Linked DNA regions of Oreochromis niloticus. The protein of the gene in region 2 purifies or fractionates together with the protein of the main gene of each other region. This does not show direct contact. Links are inferred from orthologs where the notes say so. Each region holds a gene or a part of one and is shown on either strand. Other genes may lie near its edges. The genes, in order: brms1 and arid4a.

The links.
Region 1: the proteins of arid4a (region 2) and brms1 purify together in Homo sapiens (affinity purification with western blotting; 3 studies listed by BioGRID and IntAct, with this or other methods). This does not show direct contact. The link is inferred for Oreochromis niloticus from reciprocal best matches to the Homo sapiens genes ARID4A and BRMS1.

What each region holds. Positions count from the first base shown.
Region 1 is NC_031967.2:10,441,734-10,451,969, reverse strand, and holds the start of brms1 (breast cancer metastasis-suppressor 1), read right to left. Parts: upstream 3,979-10,236; 5' UTR 3,829-3,978; intron 3,569-3,828; exon of another isoform or gene 3,197-3,568; intron 3,088-3,196; 5' UTR 2,997-3,087; intron 1,263-2,996; 5' UTR 1,251-1,262; coding exon 1,028-1,250; intron 908-1,027; coding exon 817-907; intron 712-816; coding exon 584-711; intron 1-583. Other genes in the region: ppp1r14bb (protein phosphatase 1, regulatory (inhibitor) subunit 14Bb), read right to left, coding at 8,138-8,206, 8,336-8,368, 8,459-8,542. UniProt on the Homo sapiens protein: Transcriptional repressor. Down-regulates transcription activation by NF-kappa-B by promoting the deacetylation of RELA at 'Lys-310'. Promotes HDAC1 binding to promoter regions.
Region 2 is NC_031983.2:2,562,570-2,572,678, reverse strand, and holds the start of arid4a (AT-rich interactive domain-containing protein 4A), read right to left. Parts: upstream 4,392-10,109; 5' UTR 4,162-4,391; intron 3,776-4,161; exon of another isoform or gene 3,460-3,775; intron 3,202-3,459; 5' UTR 3,155-3,201; coding exon 3,149-3,154; intron 2,101-3,148; coding exon 1,990-2,100; intron 1-1,989. Other genes in the region: psma3 (proteasome subunit alpha type-3), read right to left, coding at 5,633-5,677, 6,170-6,234, 6,568-6,635, 6,931-6,977, 7,934-7,999, 8,105-8,177, 10,021-10,094.

The DNA.
Region 1 (10,236 bases), on a different chromosome or scaffold from region 2:
TGGAAGCTTCGTGTCATTCATGGCTTCAGACTCAAGAATAATGTCTGTTTTTCATCTGAGCAGGTGTCGCCTTCACCAAAAAGGAAAGAACTGAAGTCAGGACTCACAAACACATGAAAACTAGCATAAACATGCTCGTTATTCCCGCAATTGTTTATTGTCAGCAGATTAGACATCCGACATCGAGTCTACTATAAAAATCACAGATCATGTATGAGAGTTTATTCGCCAAGTGTCCAAGTCCAAAAATGTTAGCTCCACTACAAAAAAGGTTTCCCTAACTCCGGCTAACAGCAGCCTTTACAGACAGGATAGTTGAGGATATCCTCAACAACTCACCTCAGTATCACCGTCATTGGACAGAAGTGAGCTTCACCGACTCACCGACTCGTACCTTTCACACTTTTTACAGCCTCCTCCAGAGTAAATGCACGAGCACACATATTTACAGCCGAGGTAAACAGCACGCTGACAACCTACACTCACTACAGACAAATGGCAGCCAAGGTTGTTTGCACTACAGTGGCCACCGTAGCTAGGGTATTGGACTTGATTAGGATTTTATTTATTTATTTTTCTGTACCAGCCACTTGTGTCCGTATCTGCATGCTGTTCTGTAGTGCAGCCAGCGGGTCTCTGTATTCACCGGCCTTTCCTGTCAGCACCTCGTCCAGCTTGACTTTCACCTGGTTTAGCCGTTCCCGAAACAACCTGCAATCACACGGTGAAATCAGCCTCAGCAACAGGTGGCTCAGACATCGAAAAAAAGAAGAAGGACAAAGTGTTGAATCCCTTTTTCCCCCCGCTTCAAATTACTTCTCTTTCAGCTCCTGGAATTGTTTCTCCAGATCCATCATCTCATCCAGACATTCTCCTCTTCTCCTCTCACAATCTTCATCATCCATCTCTTCATAGGACAAAGAGAAAAAAGAAAACAGTTTAAGGTGGCGTCGATTATATTGCGTCTCTCTTGTTATATAAGCAGTCGAAACGTTAATAGAGCATTTTGATTTTTTTTTTTTTTTACCTGAGCTCTCTTCTTCCTCTTCCTCCTCTTCCTCCTCGTCACTATCTTCCAAGTCGGTCTCCCTCTCCTCCATACTTTCCTCCATGGTCTCCTCGGCTCCTCCCCCTCTTGTTCCTTCATTCTCTCTGGGTTCTTCCACCTCTCCGTTGGCCTCGGGGAGCTGCGACTCACCCTCTGCCTCCATCTCCTCCTCCGGCTCCTTCACAGGGGGTTGGGCAGGCATGGAAGCCAGAAGCTATATGTGGCATTAATAAAAATATCACATAAAACTAAAGACGGTAAACTCTTCAACACAGCCAATTCTATCCAGATATGTTTGTACTGCATTAGCAGAAGATGTGGGCAATATGGCCTCAAAAATATAGCACAGTATTGTCACATAATAAAATGAAAGAATACTTTCAGCCTGCGATGTTGTACGTTGGGCCAAAGTTTTTAACCTGTTGCTTAAAACCCTTCTCTGCCACATGTAACTGCATCTGTAATTTCCATCCACAGTTTGCTCTTCCTGTCATGTGGAGTGCGACCAGTGAGTGCTCCAGCTGCGCTCGGTGGAGTCATCTGCTTACATTTGGGTCACACACCACCAGCTGCTAGTATCTCCTCCTTCGTAGCCTGGGTGTACTCGATGATGTGTTTTTGCCTCAAGTGATGAAACAAGTCTGTTATTTCTACATTTAGCTGGAACAGTTTTCTTGCATATTGTGCAGCGCATTGTGCTTTGTTGGACGTCTTTTAGCTACATTTTTTAAAATTGGGATAATGGAATATCAGAGATGATGTGATATGGTTCTAACTGGCAGCATGCTTGAAATCATTGTCATGTTGCTGCTATGAAAATCTAAAGCTAATTTTTGTGTTCACATTTCCACTGTGTTTTATAGACAGCTGCATACTCAGTGTTGTACCTCTCTCCTGACATCCTCTCAGTTTGAACCAAAACAAAATTCAAATTTGCCTGCTTCCTGTTATGTGTAGACACACCACTGGTTCATCAATTGAGTTAGGTGAATTTGCTTGAATAATTCATAGGTCAGTGTTAAGCGGCATAACAAACAAACATTCAGGTAGATGGGGGCAGCTGTGGCTCAGGTGGCAGAGCGGGTTGTCTACCAATTGGAAAGTAGCTAGATGAAAGTACTGTATGGATGTGTGTGTGTGATTGGATGAATGGGACTTGCAGTAGTAAATTAACTGAGCTGAAAGCCACTATAAATACCAGTTTGTTTACAAGTACTGGACTGAAAACAAGAGAAAAAAAAAAACCAAAACGTTGAAACACCTCCAGAAAGCCTGGAGAACTATTGCTCAAGAACACTTTAAATAAAAGAATTACAAGGAAGTCTGTCTCCTTGGAAGAAAAATGTAAAGACATGAGAGGTGGCTCAAGACATTTGCACAGTACTACATACACCAAAAATGAAAACTTAAAAAAAAAAAATGCAATTTAACCCAGAAAATTATGGTTCATGTAAGCTAAGTCTTACTTATGTGTGTGCATATATAATTTTTCTAAAAAAAAGTTATATAAATAAATAATAATAATGATATATTACCAAAGTGTCTGTTAAACTTTCATTGACATCAGTGTTTTAATTATTCTTGACTTACTTCATAAATAAGTGATCAGCGCTACACACAACTCCAAAGGGTACATCCTAAATATAGACTTTATAAAGAATCATAGTTTAAAAACATATTTTTGGAAAATTCAATTATTTTATAAATTATATGTAAGAAGCTGCATAAGCACACTATTAATGTCCCAACAACATTAAACTCAAAATTATAAAACACTGACTGGGATGTTTACAACAACGAATACATTTGAAAACAACATAAATTGTCAGGGGTCATATTTCATATTTTACAGTCTGTAAAAAATAAACGCAAAGCATAAAACACATAAAAATTGTCCTGGTAAAATTAAGACCTGCCCGTGGGTTAATAACAGTGAAATTTTGCTTACTCGGCAGACGGAGTGGAATAAGGTTTAACAGCAGACTGAGGACGTGGGACCCCGAGCTACTGTATGGCCTCCATAACCTCGGCCAAGTGAACTGCAAAAAACACAACACAACACCGGAAATGACATGACTGGCTTCGCAGACATACAGGCAGGCAACAAGCTAAAATAACGCAGTCTTGCTTATCCCTCATAAAACACACCTTTAGAAAAAAGTTTATAACTGAAATATCACTTTAAAGTTGCTCCACAATTTGGCTTCACCAATTAACGGGGGTCTTATTTGTTACCTTACCGGAAGTCCCATCTCAATCGGTCTAACTTTATCTTTTAGCTTCCGGGATGTCAAAGTAAAACCGTGTACGTTATAACAGCTACGGCGGTGCATAGAGTAAAATAAAATGCCCAAATTAGCCTGAAACCTATTGTATTGAACGCGAAATTAATTGCAGTTCCCCTCAAAATAACAGAGACGCGTTTGTTGCATTTTCTTTTAAAATTAGCGGGAACTAGACCACGGACAAGTCAAGTGCAACACTAGCTAACAATTGAAACCCTGCAGCGAAGGAATGACTGCCTGTTCATCACCTTGTCCGAATACTCATCTTATTTAATGGCCAAGTGTTTTCTCTTAGAGTGTGTGCTGGTTCGTAGAAGAAAAACACCCATCAAACTCAGTGAAGCATCGCCAGAGGGGCTTCCATACTGACCCTACCTTCCTACAGCGTACGGATTAACAAATAACGTTATCCGTCAACAGATGCAGGCGATGCTGTTTGTAAACAAATAACCCTTCTTTCCATAAATGTGACAGTCAAGAGAAAAGCTCGCTCACCGCGTCCTGTTGTTCTGCTGTGAAAAGTTCAAGTATGATTTACTGTATTTCCATTTTAAAAAGTACTTCCTCTTCGTCCCAGTCTTCTTTAGTTCCACACTTTGCCGGACTCTGAAGCCCGGAAGTTCAGCCAATGAGCGCGGAGACCGAGCACTGAACTGTCCAATAGCAGCGATCAACCCGAAAGTCTCTTGTCCAATCAGAAATACTCAACCAGATCCAGTAAGCCAATTATAATCCAGGTCGCCTTCCTTATTATTCACAAAATGAAGAAATGTTTGTCTTTAGGCGAGAAAGATGGCTTATAACCCATTGCGAGTGCATGTAATAGTGAGAAACACATTGTCTCGGTGATATAAGGTGTTTTGGTACAACTTCATAAAGATAGATGTAATTATTTAAAGAGGACACTTAAAGAAGACAAACATATTTCTTCATGAATACTATAGAATTCAGTATACCCGTTGTTTGCAACAAGGATTTGGAGCTGTTTGACCTAAGACCTTGCTGTAATATAATATAATATAATATAATATAATATAATATAATATAATATAATAACCTAACACTATAACTGGAGAAAAATTGGTTTCTAATTATTTTAAAATATAAAACAAAATAAAAAATAATCCAAATTTTACATATATGATTCTAAAAATACGGTTTATAATTGAACTTATTTTCATTCACGAGGCGCAAACCTGATAATACAATTTAAATCCCGAGATCTAAGGCAAATATTTCATTATAAAATACTTATAGAAATGTAGCTTAGCATAGTGTGTATAGGGCGCAGTACTGTACGATCAATGGTTATTCTTTTTCAATTGCTCTTCCACTGCTAGCACTGTGCAGCTGCTCTCACACCCCTATACTTAATTATGGTAATGTGGTCAAATAGGCTGAGTTTGCATTTGTAAGACACTGTAATTCAGGGGTGTGATGGTGTAATTAAACCCCATACATAGGAGAACGATCCCAATTTCTCCCCCAAAGTTCTCTATTTTTTTGGTGGTGGGGTAATGTTGGAACCGTGAACTAAACGTCCGTGCTAACGTCCTTGCAATGTTTAAAACATCAAATCTAATACTGGCATTTATCCTGTTCTGTTCATTGCTCTTGTTGTTCCCTGAACCTTTGGTGAAAAGTTATCAATGGCATGATGCACTCGTTCACTTAACTTATATTAACCATCCTCCAAGTACGATGGTATTCCTGCAGGTATCCCCAGATATCCTCACCTTCTCAGCAGGTGGACGATGTAGCGGTTATACCAAGTAACCACAAGATGGCATTAAAGTGAGGCAGAATTTAATCATGACTGAGAAATTTGAGAATTTTGATATTTTTCACCTATTATGGGCTCTAGAAGAAGGATTAACAAACAGTACCAAGTACTATAATAAAACACCACACAGAGAAAAATGTCCATTTTACATGTTTTTATTAAAGTTGCATAAAAGTGTAACAAAATTGGGCAAAAACAAGACCTGTTGTTGATATTGCTACATTTGTTGGTTGGTTTGTTGGTCTAATCATTGTCTTAAAAAAAAAAAAAAAAAAAAAAATCTAAAGAACACCACTCCTCCAAATGGCATGGTTTAGCTCTTGTATTTAGCCTCAATGAAAATAATCAGTATATATATTGTTTTTTGCAATTTTCCCCAACAGTAAAAAAACAAAACAGACTTGTCAATAACAGTCTACGAAGGTATAATAATCCAAACCTGGATTTAGCAATGAAAATCCACTCAAACTTCAGCTACTGATTGGACTTGCCTGGTAAAATCTGACCGATCAAAAATGTCCCAGCAGGGAAGGCAAAAGCAATCGCACCAAAATGCATCTGAGTGGATTTTTTCTTTTTGTTCAACTACGTGTTAATCCAAGGCCGGGTGTCAAGAAGTGTCATGATCACGATAGAAACAGAGCAGTATTCAAATGGTAAATGCAAAGAACATCTTTTACCTAAACAAAAATCACTGTATCAAGGCCTAAGTATTAAACACTCACTTCTTAAAAAAAAACAAATCAAAAAACAGAATCTCAGTTTGTTTTCCAGAAAAAGAAGAAAGAGTATATAAGGACCAACAGAAGATTCAAGATTTTTTCCCCACACACTGCAGGTCTGCTCACACGTGGCAGCAGTTTGCATTACCCTTTAAAAGAAAAATGTCTCCTGTTTATTTGGTTTGTGTAACATAAATAATACCTAAGGCAACATCTCTTTATAAAAAAACAAAAAATGAAAAAAAAAATGAAAAAGGGAGGGAGGAGAGAAGGGTGACTGTGGGATGAAGGAAGGCAAAAGAGAAAAGTGGGGGATGTCAGGGAGCAATGACAGAGCAGCAAGATGAAAGTGTGTGTGTGTACACATGTGCCTTTTGGCTCTAGCAGAGAAAGAGGCAGACAGCGAAGGTCTGCTGTCACTGCAGGTGTTAGCAATCGGTCACAGGAACCACAGCGAAATCTCGCTGCTTCTCTTGTTAACCAATGGGCTTCGGTCTCTGATCTGATTGGCCCAGGATCAGAAACAGATGGCTTATTCTCCGAGAGGATTGGTAGCTGCACCGGGAGGTTAGAGGGGGGCAGCGGTGGACTATGGCCTCGTCTCCCTCTCTCTCTGACTGTGCCAGTGTTTGTGTGTGTGCACATCTGTGCTAGAGGCAGCTGTGTTTGCCGATGTGTTTCCGCTTCTTCCGCCCCGAGAAGCTGTGTGCGTGTCAGAGAAAGAAAAATACAAGCTTTGATTTGAACAATGGCCTCTCTCCTGTTTAGGCATGTTAGCGGTGATTCCACTGACATGTCAGGCAGAGGACAAATGTCAGAGATGTGACTGCTCTGAATGCCCCCCCTCAAAAAAGTATAATGGTTTAGTCTAATAATGTTTTAGAAAAGGAGAAATTGTGAGAATGAGATGGAAGGGTTAGGGGCAGTGATTTTAAAAAAAGGCAGCTTTGTTTTGGGTCCCCTTGTTGGACTGTCAGTGTGTGTCCGTGTGACAAAAAAATGCATCCAGGAAACAAAAACAGAACCCCCGCCCCTCCCAAACGAAACAGGAACCAGTCCTATACTAAAAATCTAATCTGTCATACAGAACAGCAGAATATACAGGCCCAAAAACACTCCTATGACAAATGTTGCTGTACATTATGTAGCAACACACACGTAGCATTTAGCGACACAGACATACGTTTGTATGTGCAGCGGCTTCTGAGGAGCCTCTCGTGACTGTTCTACGCATTTGAGGAAAAAGAAACCTTCTACTTTGACATCCAGCCTAAAGAGAACTTGCTTCCGGAGGAGATCAGTTTTTTTAAGCCGGTGACCACCAAAAACAAGCCGGTGACCCTTTCCAGGCTTCAAATTTTCCCTCTTTGCCGTGCTAAAGATACACCATACATTATTCTTTGTGGTTCCGATTTTTCTTCCCCTCAAAATGACATAGTGCAGACTTCTCAAACACACATGCGCACACACGCACAAAAAAAAAGTCTCTAAATGCACCACTGCAGCAATGCCTCTGATTGAGGGGGATAATTAGCAAAAGACTGTACTGATCCCCGAAAGAGTTAATTAAAAAAAACTAAAGTGAAGCCCTCAAATTGAACCGGGAAGTATGGAAAGAATTATAATGGGCGGCTGGGTCAACTTTAAAACCCTCAAAAACAGCAACGTAAAGATCGGTGGAGACAGAAGCGAGTTGATTGGCTTCTTCCTTCCTCTAACCCTCCTCCTCCTCCTCCTCGTTCACCCTTCCACTGTCTTTTTTGGCATCTGCGCTCTCTCGTTCTTCTCGATCTCGGTCGCTCTGCTCGCAGTAATTAGGGGACTCGTCTCCTCTTCCTCCTCAGACAGATGGAAGATGGTGTAGGGGTGGGTGGGGAGGAAGTAGAGCTGGATGGGAAAGGGTAGCAGAGCCAAAAAAGAAAAAAAAAAGGTGGAGAGAGGGGTAGGAGTAGGAAAAGAGGAGGAAGGAGAATGCCTGGATTAAGACCAATGAGTCGCTTTTGAATTAATTCACTCTTTAATTTGTCTTTTTTCCCCCTTCTTGGCTGATGGTTTTTATGAAGGAAGTCCAACGACATGACAACAAAAGAGAAAAGCGACATATGGGGCTGGATCCAGGCAACAACAAGAGAGGGTCTAACTAGAAGCAGAAACAAGTTGTCATTTCATGAACTTTAATGGAAGAAAACAGACAAAAGTTTAAAAAAAAAAATAGCGTGAGCTGTGGTAGGAAGACGAGAGGTGAGGGCTGAGGTGGAAGGGAATATGTAGGATGGAGGGAGGAAGGGGAAGGATGCCATCATTTCTTCTGAGGCGTGGAGAGCTTCTGCATCCCTCGGATCTTGTCGAGCAGCTCTGAGATGAAGTCCTACGGGGAGAGGGCAAGGACAAAAACACATGCGGGGACTCAATATGACAAATATGCACATCAGAAATGTTCACTTGAAGAGGCAGAGGGAGTTTATGAGCAGGGGAGTGAAGAAGAACTGTGTTTTACCTCAGTAGGTTTAAAACAGTCAACCAGCAAGTCCTGCAAAACAGGGAAAAACAGGATGAAATAACACTCTGCTGTTTGCAGCCATCTTTCCTGCTCTGAAACAGGTGCGCACGTGTGTCCTACCTTGACCCTGGCTGCCCGTTCAACATCACTGGGCATGTCGAGCAGTTCGTCCACATCTATCTCCAGCTCGGGGATGGCCTCTTCCTATAGCACATGTAACAAAAGGAGGAGAGAAGAAGAGCACCATCAGAGACCAAACATCCACCAACTTCCTTAGAAAAATACTAGAGAACCTCTTTCCACGAACACATGGAAAGAAATCCTCATCCTGTCTATTCTTAGTGCCTGTGTTTATATTATGTGGTTGTCTGCAAATAGACCAGCAAGCGTAAGCATTTCTCTCTCTGTATGACGTGGTACAGTTATTGATGAATGTCCGGCTGTGGACACTAGAGGGCGGCGTGCTTCCATTAGCGCAAAGCACATGGCAGAGAGACATGAGGAGACAAAGAGAGAAGAAAACCAGCACAGACAGGTTTCATTTTTTTAATCTTCTTCAATGAAAAAAAAGAGTTTATTTTCAAGGTTGGAAAAATAAAAAATAAAAGAATAATCTGGTTAAAAGCTGTGCTTATTTGCTGTTACACAGAGAGCAATGATACTGTTTGGGGACCAGAAATACCAGTGCGAAGGAATTTTACTTTTTGCCACACAAAATGATTAAAGGAATGGACTGAAATTTGTAGTTCGCTTTCATCCCACGAGTTACACGAGGAGACAGGGGTGCTCGTCTACCAGCTATTTAGCTCAGTTTAGCAAAAACACAGTGAGAAGGAGGTGGCATCTCATGTGTCCACTGTGTCAAGATTCACAAAGGCAAGGCGCTGCAGTGTTTTATCGTCTGTGGAGAGGGCCGAGCTAGCTCATTTCCCATCAATTCTCAGCTTTACGTGGGCAAAACAAAGCTATCCATCCATCTATAGCTTACAATGCAAGAAAGTCAGTGTGATGTTTGAGATCAAGTAAGAACACGTGCATGTCCTAAAGCTAACACCTGAGAAGAAACAAAGACACCAAATGGAGCAACACAGAGTTAGGATCCAGGCAAGTTCCTGTTTCTAACAGGTCTTTAAAGTGTCCTCCTTCAAATCTGTTGTGCAAAACTGGAAACATTTATTTTAGAATAATTACTATTTTCTTTACAGACAGCTCATTACTGAAAGCTAGGGTGCTAACTGCTGATGGCCACCCATGTTGTATTCATGTAAAAACCAGTTGAAACTGGGAAATCTGCTCCTTTGAATTGGGAATTTTTACCGCTGCATTCGCGTTTAGAAAACGTGGACTTCAAATCATATTTAAAGCAAAGTAACTACATAAATTAAAATACACATTTATACACCTAATATAAGCCAATCAGTCATCGCCCAGTTTCATCAGGCTCACATCTAACGTCGAATTAGTCTTCAGGATAAAGAAAGCAGTTCACGGCGAGTTCATCTTCGTCTCAGTTTCTCCTTATCCAATCAATTCTTTCTTCCGATTAATCTGTCGCTCTATTAAAAAGCTTTATTAGTCCCCGTCTCTCCATCTGCCTCGCTCGCACACACTGGCTCAGTGTGCTCCAGCCAAGCTCTTCACCGCTGGCGACAAGAACACACGCACGCACACTCGTACAAACACTCTGTGCCCCCCCCCCCGAGCTCTTTTGCAGCTCAATTGCTGCCCCTATATTCATGTCGTTCTCTAGGAATCTCTCCCTCGCTCTCGTCCTCCCCCTCGGTTAGAGTTGCCCACACCAGCTGTCTCTGCACCTGCCTGACTGCCCCTTATCCCATCACACAAAACACACACAAGTCAGTCGGACTCACAACCACACATGGACAGGCAAAACATGC
Region 2 (10,109 bases):
ATTTTATTGTTTTAAATGTAATTCTCATCATCATTTTTTATACTATTTTATTATTGTTTTTGCTATTTGTGCTAATTTTATTTATTTTAATGTCATTTTAATAATCATTTTTATATATATATTTTATTTATTTTATATTATTATTTTTCTTATTTTTTAACATGTTCAATGTATCATTTTGGCATGTCAAGTGTACAGCACTTTGTGTTCAGCTGGGGGCTGATCTGAAAGTGCTATATAAATAAATTGCTTGCTTGCTCCAGGGGATGTCACATGAATCGAGATGACGTGTAACAGTCAGTAATCAAGTCGGCCGATGTTTTTCTTTTTGGTTGGCAGAACCGGAGCGACTGCAGCTGTCAGTGAGCACTTCAGCATCTTGCTATCGCTACAACAGAGGGGTGGGCATAAAGGGAGTAATTTTTTGTTTAGGTGGGGGGTAATGTCAAATGCAATGTTTTTAATCAGCAAACACACAAACTGTTTGTGTCTGCAGTTTGTCTCACGGTGTGTTGCTAGCGAAAGGTCCAACTGCTGTACTTCAGAGATACAGGTGTGTACATCCACAAAGAGCAGTAAACCTCAGAGCAGCAGTAGCCCAGATCAGATCAGCCGATCACAGTCTGCACGCTTAGAAAATCTACTGGAGATCTCAATAGAAATGACTGATTCCCACACTGAGCCACTACAGCCCATTATAGGGTTCCCCCACCTGCTGAATCCCACTTTAACAATTGACTGTGCTCATTTTCTTATGCAGGAGCAAAGTCACCCTCTGCAATGTGGGACAAGAAAATTTAAAAAAAATCTATTTTTGTTCTTCTTCTTCTGATTGAAGCAGAGTATTAAAAATGAGACTAACCGTTTGTATTCATCTTCTAATATTATTTTATCATTGCATTAAGGCACATAGCTCAGTTAGCTTTGCACAAAACTAGCTAGTAGAAACGTCATCCAAAGACCCACTCTTTACTTTCTTACATTTCAGAGCCTGTACTTTTAATCTTTTACTTCCACTTCCACCGGAATATTTTTTAACACTAGTATCTGTACTTCTACTCGAGTACAGAATGTCTGTAAGGAATCAAAGCAATAACAGAATCTGAATTTCTTCTTATCAATCCCCATCCCTACCTACAAGACTTGTGGGTTTGTTGTGGCACAGTGTGTGAGAGACGTACCAGCACACTGTTGCAGTATTTGCTATAGGGGAAGAGCAAAGTTACTTTAGTCAGCAGTAACTGTGCTGTATAAAAGACGTGGGCACAGCCACTGTGATGTCACCGCAACTAAAGCGGATATAAAGAAATTCTGCATTTGCTCCACTTTTATAAACTGGTGGTTATATCCACTTTCTACATTCAGTCTGTGGCTTTAATGTGTTACATCTAAACAAACTTTACAACAGCAGGTGCCCAGGTATACTGAGACTCACACAGCTGGTGGCAACAGATGATACCGGCAGTACATCTTTGTCAGGTGACATCAGCCTGGTGACTGCTATCAACCAGATGATGTTTAATACTGGAAGCTGTCGTACACTTCTTAAGCTCTGATTAATTACTTAAACGACACAATGACAGGGAAAAGCCCTTACAACAGAAACAAAACGTTTAAAGTTGTTATAGTCATTGGCCAAATTGGTGCATCCCTAACACTGAAAGGCTGCGATCTGATTTCTTCACAGAGCTATGGGACACATTGTTTACCATGAAGTAAGTAGTGGAACATATTCACAACACAGGACTAGATTCATATCCAGGTTTTGAAGGAACTGTGGTAAGTAGGCCACTGTTAAGCAGAATTGAAAGCTTAATTAATTAAAAACTATTCCTTTGAAAAATCAGTCCACCCCGTTTGTGTCTGACATGTACTCAGGGTCAGAAAGCACAGTGACCCAATGATATTAAGTGGGAAACACTGACAGACCAGACTGTGGTCCTTTATAATTCCTGATGCTCATGAGGATGAAATTTCTGCTAATCTTACCTTGACTTTCACCATGCGCTTAACAGTCTTGATCTTGGCCTCACAGAAGGCTCCTCGGTACTTGGCACTGACATCTGTCCCCACTGTCAGGTAGGCAGGCTCATCTGCTGCCTGAAATGCCAATACAAACATACACATAAGCAGCAGCTCTCAAGACTTTGAGTTGCATTTGTGAAGTTTGTGTGATGGTTTCACTTTGTCAGTCTGTCATTTGTCAAAAGCCTGGAGAGCACATCCATGAGTCCTGGGTCTAATTCCAGTTTTAGGAAAATGGATCCTTTAAAAACTGATTACTGACGTACCTGTTTACACAATGAAAATGGCAACCAGTTCCTGACCATTTGTGTGAAGTGGTTTGTCATCTCAACCCTTACCAGCTTACCTTTTTCTAAACATCAGCTGCTGCCTACATGTTATTTTGTCTCATTTGTGTTGACACTTTTCATCTAACTCTTGATGATTACATCAAGAGTTAGATTCAGAAATGTTCAGAAATGTTTCTTCCAAGAAACCCAAACCTCAGATAACTTTCCTACCAGATACATAATGCGAGTGAATGTAATTAGCTTTTTATTAATGGCAATAACAGCAAATCAAACTAATCAATCTAAAAACCAGAATAAGACATGTACTGACTAGGTGTTTCAGTCTGTCTGTCTAAATATGCAGCCGGTCACCAAACACCTAGTTATATAGTGCTACTTGTCATAGCTCCTGATCCTTATCATGTAGTTTTACAGGAATAATAATGTTGTTGCATCTGATTTAAATCAATCATATTTTTAGGTTAAAAAAAACAACAAAACAAATCCCCCACCAAAAAACTCAAAGGGATGAGTGGTCTTTGGAATATTAAAAAAGGGTCTTTAAATAATTTGCAAATCAGAGACAGTGTTGTAATTAAAGCAGTGGAAATGCGTTTACATTGTACAGCAATTGTCGGAATCCTGCTTAGGACTATAAACATTTGGCTCATCACTATAACACCACAGCACAGATCTGCCATGTAAAAACGATAAACCGACACAGGAGTCGGAACTGGAAAAGCACAGTTTAAGTCATCTGTGTCTGGTTCCATCTGGGTCTCTGAGCAGGGTTCAGACATGGTGCTTAGACCGAGAACACCATCTTCAGTTTGTGTCGCAGGTCAAACACTCACCTTCATTTCTTCTCGGCTATTTGAGGGAGTCCAGCTCGAAAGATTTGGGATCACTGAAAGACAAACAATGAGCCGACAGATGAGGTTAAAGCTTGCGGTGGCACTGAGGACAAACAGGGCATAAAGAGTCAAACAGACCAGTCCAGTTTGAAAATCACGCTAAGCTAACCGACTAGCCACTCACTTGTGTTAGCTCAGGCATTCTTTTCTAGCTCGGTCAACCCACTCCCTCCCTCCCTCCCCTCAAATCTGCCTACTCGTATCAGTTCAAATATGTGGCCCAAACAGCTCGCAAAAATTTAGCTAGTAACCTTTACTTCCAGTGAACACCGGGTCCCCGGTTTGAAGAAGCGTCGCTGGTAGCTCGGTGATGGGCACGGTGCGTGAGCGGGGCCGGAGAGGGGCGCCTCTTCCCGCTCCGCTCCCAGCCCCTGTGAGTCACGTCGCCATCACAGCTTGTCATGTCAGCTAGCTGGGCTAACTTTATCACATCCACACCAAATCCGCTTAATAGCGACCAGCTGCTACCACACAACCGAATGCCAAGACGAACGAAGTCCAAACAACAGGCGAACGGGACAAGCTGCTCTTCGCTTCGTAGCTACGTCTAGCTAGTTGGCTAACTAGCGACTCAACTAGCTAGTTACGGAGATTTAAACGGTCCGCTAGCAAATGAGCAGCATAGCTAGAGTCCACTCTAGGTCCCACTTGGTTACGAGATCAAACTAAGTTTTTACTAAACAGTGTGAATCAGTGACACTAGACGTAACGAGAACTGCTGTAGATTTATTTATTTAATAAACGGTTCCTCCACAAAGGCGCCGGAGCTTCACATTTCTTCAGTGCAAAAACAACCCGACTGCCATTCAATTCAGACAGCCCCGACGAATAGCGAGCAAACGGACATCTCCCGGTCTCTCCGCTGACGTCTAGCTGCCCTCGGCCTACCGACAGTTTAAACTGTTCAAAGTTTTAGCTTTGTTCTAGTCAAAATATGAAGGTTTTATACTTACATTCACGGACACAGCAGCTTCCCCTCTCGCTCGGGCTGCAAAGCAATATACGAACAACAAGCTGTTGAGCCTCAAGCTCCGTTTCCTGAGAACACGATTGGCTGTGGTGACAGCAGTGGTCGCAACACAGAAATTTGATTGGTGGATCGATTTCTCAATTTCAATAGGACAGTCTTCACGCGGTATCGCTATGGGCTTGTACAAACGCGGCGCCACTAGGGAAATGACGGCACCTGCAGGCCAGTGGTGTAATCAGAAGCGAGTTCAATAGAAAAAAATACACAGGGCGATCACAATTGGCCGTCCACGCTTTGTTCCTCGCTGTAGCGCGTCTCTATTGGCGGAGCGGTCTTCCTCGTCTGTAGCGATATAACAGGAAGCCTTGCCGTGCTGGATTTCTGAGCACCATATTCAATTCACAGTTCATACTACTTATTTGTCGACTGGGCTGACCAGAAAAATAACACGCACGATTTTGTCAGATATAAAGTTTACACGGATTTTTACATAACCACAAACAGCGGGCGCTGGTGTTTGATCGCTTTGTATTGCCGGTAACAGCGAATCGAAACAACCGGGAAAAGGCGCTTCATGACGTACTTACGTGTCCTTCTGTTGTTATATGCAGTGTTTTCACATGTACGCGGAAATCAAAGAGACCGTCTCCTGCCCCCTTCTAATTCGCTGGTAACTCATGACTTGAGAACATACAGTGCACACTTCATTAAATGTGATTTGGTTCCACATCTGAGACGTCATTGTGTGAACCACGCTCTACAGCCTTTGGCACTGACAGCTTTACTGGATAGATGAGCTGCAAAGACAAAACGGTAGGCGTTTGTTTGGAGTACCGACGCCACAGGAAGACAGCACAATCATGTCATGGTGGTCACAGAGAAAGTGACGCTGTCATAGGTCCAACTATACCAAATCATAGGCCACTAAACAGCAAACACGTATAAATACTAAACAGTTTGTTATGATTTGTTGTTAAAAACACCCCAAAGATATTAAAACATCTCATTTTACCTGCTAATCATATTTTGCATTCATTCTTCATTAGTTTAGAAAGTGAAATATTTTTGTTCAAAATGATCTCACTTTGTGATGAAGGTCTTGTACAAACCTACTATAAAACCACTAGTTAATAATATTCATGTGGTTGGAGCTCTGCATGCAAACAAGTTTGTTTTCCGTTGTTGTTTTTCGTGTTTAACCAATCAGCTGACTGAAACACTGAAAACTGTTTGCTCTGTAGCAAAAAAGTATATTTGAAAGGTGGAATATGGCAGTATTAAAGATTTACAATCACTGTTCATCAACACTCTCCCCAAAAAAAGTAGTGTGAACTTTCATTCAACTTTTATTTTTAAAGCTGAAATTCAAACCAAAAACAAGACAACAGATGTGAAAGATTATCAACTATAAAACCAACAAAAGAAACAGATGCGCCCGTCAGCAGAGGATGAGTTTACATGTTGTCTTCATCCGAGTCGTCCTCTTCTTCCAGAGAATCCTGAAACACAAAAAGCAGTCACCTGAATGTACTGCCCACCACAGGAAAGTAGAACAACTATGGAAATACGTTCTCTACTAAAGTCAGACATGAATATCAAAGTCGTAAAAATGAAGGCTGGTTCCAAAAGAGTCGATCCTTACACATTCGCACGTTATTAGGTACAAGTTCACGGCGTGTCTCTACCTCCATACAAAAAACTGTTTTGGTCTGTAAGGATCATTTCTCCCTTCCCAACAAGTGTGTGGGAATACATTTACTGTAGAACTCACACATTTAGGCTTTAATAAGAATGCAGCTTCTTCAACTGTTAGATTTTCACAATGGTTAAAATGAAGCCCTCCACAGTCTGACAACTAATATCTGCTGTGAGATCCAGCCGTCCGAGACGTTTGTGGCCAGACGCCAACAGGCGACATGACAGCAGCGTCACAGTGGCTACATCTGTTTGTCTTGTATCGTCTCTATCTGCTACAAAGGATTATCACCCACCTTGGCATATTTCTCTGCTTCCTCTCTGACATCTTTGGGTACCAACTCGTGTCGTCCATTTGTGACTGTAAGAGAAGATATGTCACCAGGGCAACCAAAGTACTAATGAAGAATTACTTAGAGTTTTTTGCCAGTTTGTCAACATTATTCTGCATGTTATGCTTCTTTATTTGTGTGTCTCATTAGTTTAATGTGGCCGCGTGCAGCTCATGGATTGGTCAGACAGCCAAGAGGCAGTGACATCACAGGAACTCAGTCCAGTGAGCGAAACCTTCTGGATTGTCATCATCCCTACGCGATGAAGGGCGTCAGCTGACATCACTGTTAAGTCTAGAAGCTTCACACTAAAAGTAGAGACAGACAAATGAGTGGACAAGAAGAGCACTGATGGTGCTTACCTTCTCCAACCCAGCTGAGCTCCAGCTCAAAAGCCTTATCCTTAACCTCATCGTGGACAATGTAGATTCTGCAAACATCAAAATACAACAGACTTTAGGCAAAATACAGATACACCACGTGTGCAATGTACTTTAGACTTGCACTTTACACAGTTCACTTGCAATTTTTCTGCATTACATGACATGGGAGTTTTAGTTCCCATTTTCTTCACACACACACACACACACACACACACACACACACACACACACACACACACACACACACACACACACACACACACACACACACACACACACCTCTCTTACAGGTGACACAGTTCAGGAGTTCAGAAAAAATGAGTTTGGAAGTTGCTCACTCACATTTTGGCGACCTCTTTAACCAGTTCTCTGCATGTCATGTCCTTCATCTGAGACACACACACACACACACACACACAGAGGGAAAAAGCAAAGATAGTATCAGGCACACTGATCTGGATTAGGAGACTAATATTAACTATTAATCTGATTTTTTCTTTTACAATACAATTTTCCCAGAAATATCAGAAATGTAATTGAAAATGTTTTTTTTAACTAAACATGTAAAAATGCCTTTAAACATTCCTAAAATGTCAGTGAAGTATGTGCAGAAAATGTTTTTTACATTTTAAAAGAAAAAATAAGCAATTAAAATATGCAGATCTCAGAATTGCAAAGAAGAGGTTGAAAATAGACATTTCTTTAATAATTATGTTGGAAAATGTGTCCCCCCAAAAAAAGGAAAAAAAAAAAAAATGATGCCAGAAAAACTTTTTTTTTTTTTTTTTTTTTTTTTTTAAATATACTGGTGGTGCCAGTGCTACACTTCAACTCCCAGTAGATGCAGCTATGGAAGAAATGTGAAATTCCCAGGTGATTTCAGAAAAGCTGACCTCTGACCTTGCAATGACAGTCACCAGGATTCGAACCTGTCTGAGATTTTTTTGGTGTTCTCACCCTGACCTTGAGGTCGAGGTCACTCGACACATACCTCATCAGCCTTTTATGGCTGCGGTTAAAAAGGTCAATATCAAAATTACATCTTGAAACTACTTGAAATTGTTTTTACATGAACCTCAAACATTATTAAATTGAACCTTTTGACTTTTTTTTTTAAACCGAGTCACAGTTGAGTTCAGGATCAGCTGCTTTACAGACACTGATGCCACCAGCTCACATGTATTAAGGTGACACGTCTTCATTAACAGACGATCTTTCTTATCTTATTAAAGATTTGTGCTGAAGCTAAAGTTGTGGTTATTTAACAGATGAAGAACTGGATCTAGAATAAGAGTGCTAACAGAACTAAACTGGACTCATGTGAATGTTGCAGGTTCAGACTCACCTGCAGTTTTTCAATCTCAGTCTTGGCAGCTTGTTTTGCCTTTCCGATGGCACATCCCCAGTAACCCTGCACACAAACACACACACAGACGCACACACAGTGTTGTTACTGCTGCTTTAGCCAAGGTTCTACCTGGGTTCCCACCATATACAGATGTGAGAGCAAACTCACGTATGAGATGCCGGACGGGTCGACCATGTAGAGCTGGGGACCGTCGTCTTTGTCGTATGAGCCAAGGATGAAACTGAAAGAGAAACAACCAGAACACAGACATGAAAGCATCGATTTATTACTGTGCTCCTAGAGTGAAGGAGGGGGACCGTGAATAATAATAATAATGATGATGATAACAACAATAATACATTTCATTTATTATGTTCCTGAACCTACAGCTTCCTGTCCACTCCATTCAAACTCAAATTCAAGAGGTGACCTGAGATTTTTTTTTTTTTTTTTTTGTTAAATGTCAGAAAGTCTTTTCTTTTGGTTGGCTGATGTATAAAACAAAGAGAAAAATATCTCCCACATAAAACTAGAATCCTTTATACATTTTGGGTAACCCTGTGATTTCCGGAAAGACTAACTGCATTAGAGTTTTTAAAATGGATATTTTGTTGCTTTAACCATTACAATGTGAACATCCATATATTCAAGAGAAGGCAGACATCTCAACGGCACATACGTCCAAAATTAGGTAAGACACCAGAACAACTTAGACCAGGGCTCTCAAAGTCGTGGCCCAGGGGCCACTTGCGGCCTGTATATTGACGTGAAGAAATCTAACGCAGTTTGTCCCTTGAAGTGACTTTTTCTGTTACTGAGGATTTGTTGTGTTAGTTCAGTGACAGAGTCACACACTAATGTGTACACTTGATTTTGTTACATACGAACACAATGAGAGCAGAAGTGCTGCCACGTGTCTGTCCAGAAGGAGAGGACCAATCATTTAAGTTTGAGACCCCTGACTTAGATGAATAAACACCAAAGGAAAAAATAAGAAAATCCACTTCTGGAGCAAGTTGTCCGTTTAAATGACCTCCAACTGTTTGATAAAGGCTTGTATGTGAAATATACGCTGCTCCCCCTATATGTTTCCTCACCCTGATGGCCTGGAGAAATTCTCTCGACTCTCAAAGATATACTTAAGAATGAGAGAATCCTTCACAATGGGAAAGAATTCCAGGTCAAGTGTGAAAATGGAAATAAGGAAAACATACATTTCCATAAGGAGAGGCTCTCTCTGTCACTGATCTACGTCACAATCCTCATCTTTTATTGACATGCACATCCACACAGGTAACCAACTAATGCATGACTGTGTGCTGTACACAGCACAACACTAATATGACAACACTGATCGTTTACTCTGAACACAACACTGAGCTGTGGTCCTGAACACATCATGACTTTGAGCTTTGACAATGAAAAGAACACAGACCTGAACTTGAAACAATTACAACTTTGAATCCGTCAGGCCTAAATCAGTTTTTCCATTTAGAACAAAAGTTGTGGATTTGTGGGCGTGTCCCTGAGTTTAAGGTAAATACAGCAAAGGGAATAATCTGACAGTCAACAGGAAGTGACATCATAGAAGTCCCCCCCCCCTCGGGTACGTACTTGAGTCAGTCATCGCTGTGATGGGTGTAGTTAATTTGGATCATTTTTTAAAATAATACATATGATAATTATTATTATAATATTTGTACAATACTTTACATCACCTGAGCTGTAAATGAAGTTTGACTGTTGACGGCTCGAACATTAGAAGAATACAATATGAAAAGGAGTCATTAAATGCAACAGCGGTCTTTTCTAGTAAGAGGGTTTAATCAGGAGCCGTAGGATGACAGCAAAGCTCAGGAGCGTGTAGCGACATAAAGGGTACCAAGCTAAACTTTAATGCTATCTGATGTGACTGTGTGAATGATGAGACTGAACCGTCTTTTTGACAAAATGACTCCGGCTCAACAGGAAGGGAGGAGTCAGACAGAAGCTCAGGGTTTATTTAAAAATGCTGAAGGAACAGAAGACGTGACGGCAGCTCCGCTCCATGTTTTCATAATGTTAACATAATTACTGAAACTCACCTGCAGCCAAACGGCCTCACAGCGCTGTACAACGTATAGGCATGGACATACATGGCCACTCTGTCTGAGAGGTGCTGCAAGGAGAGGAA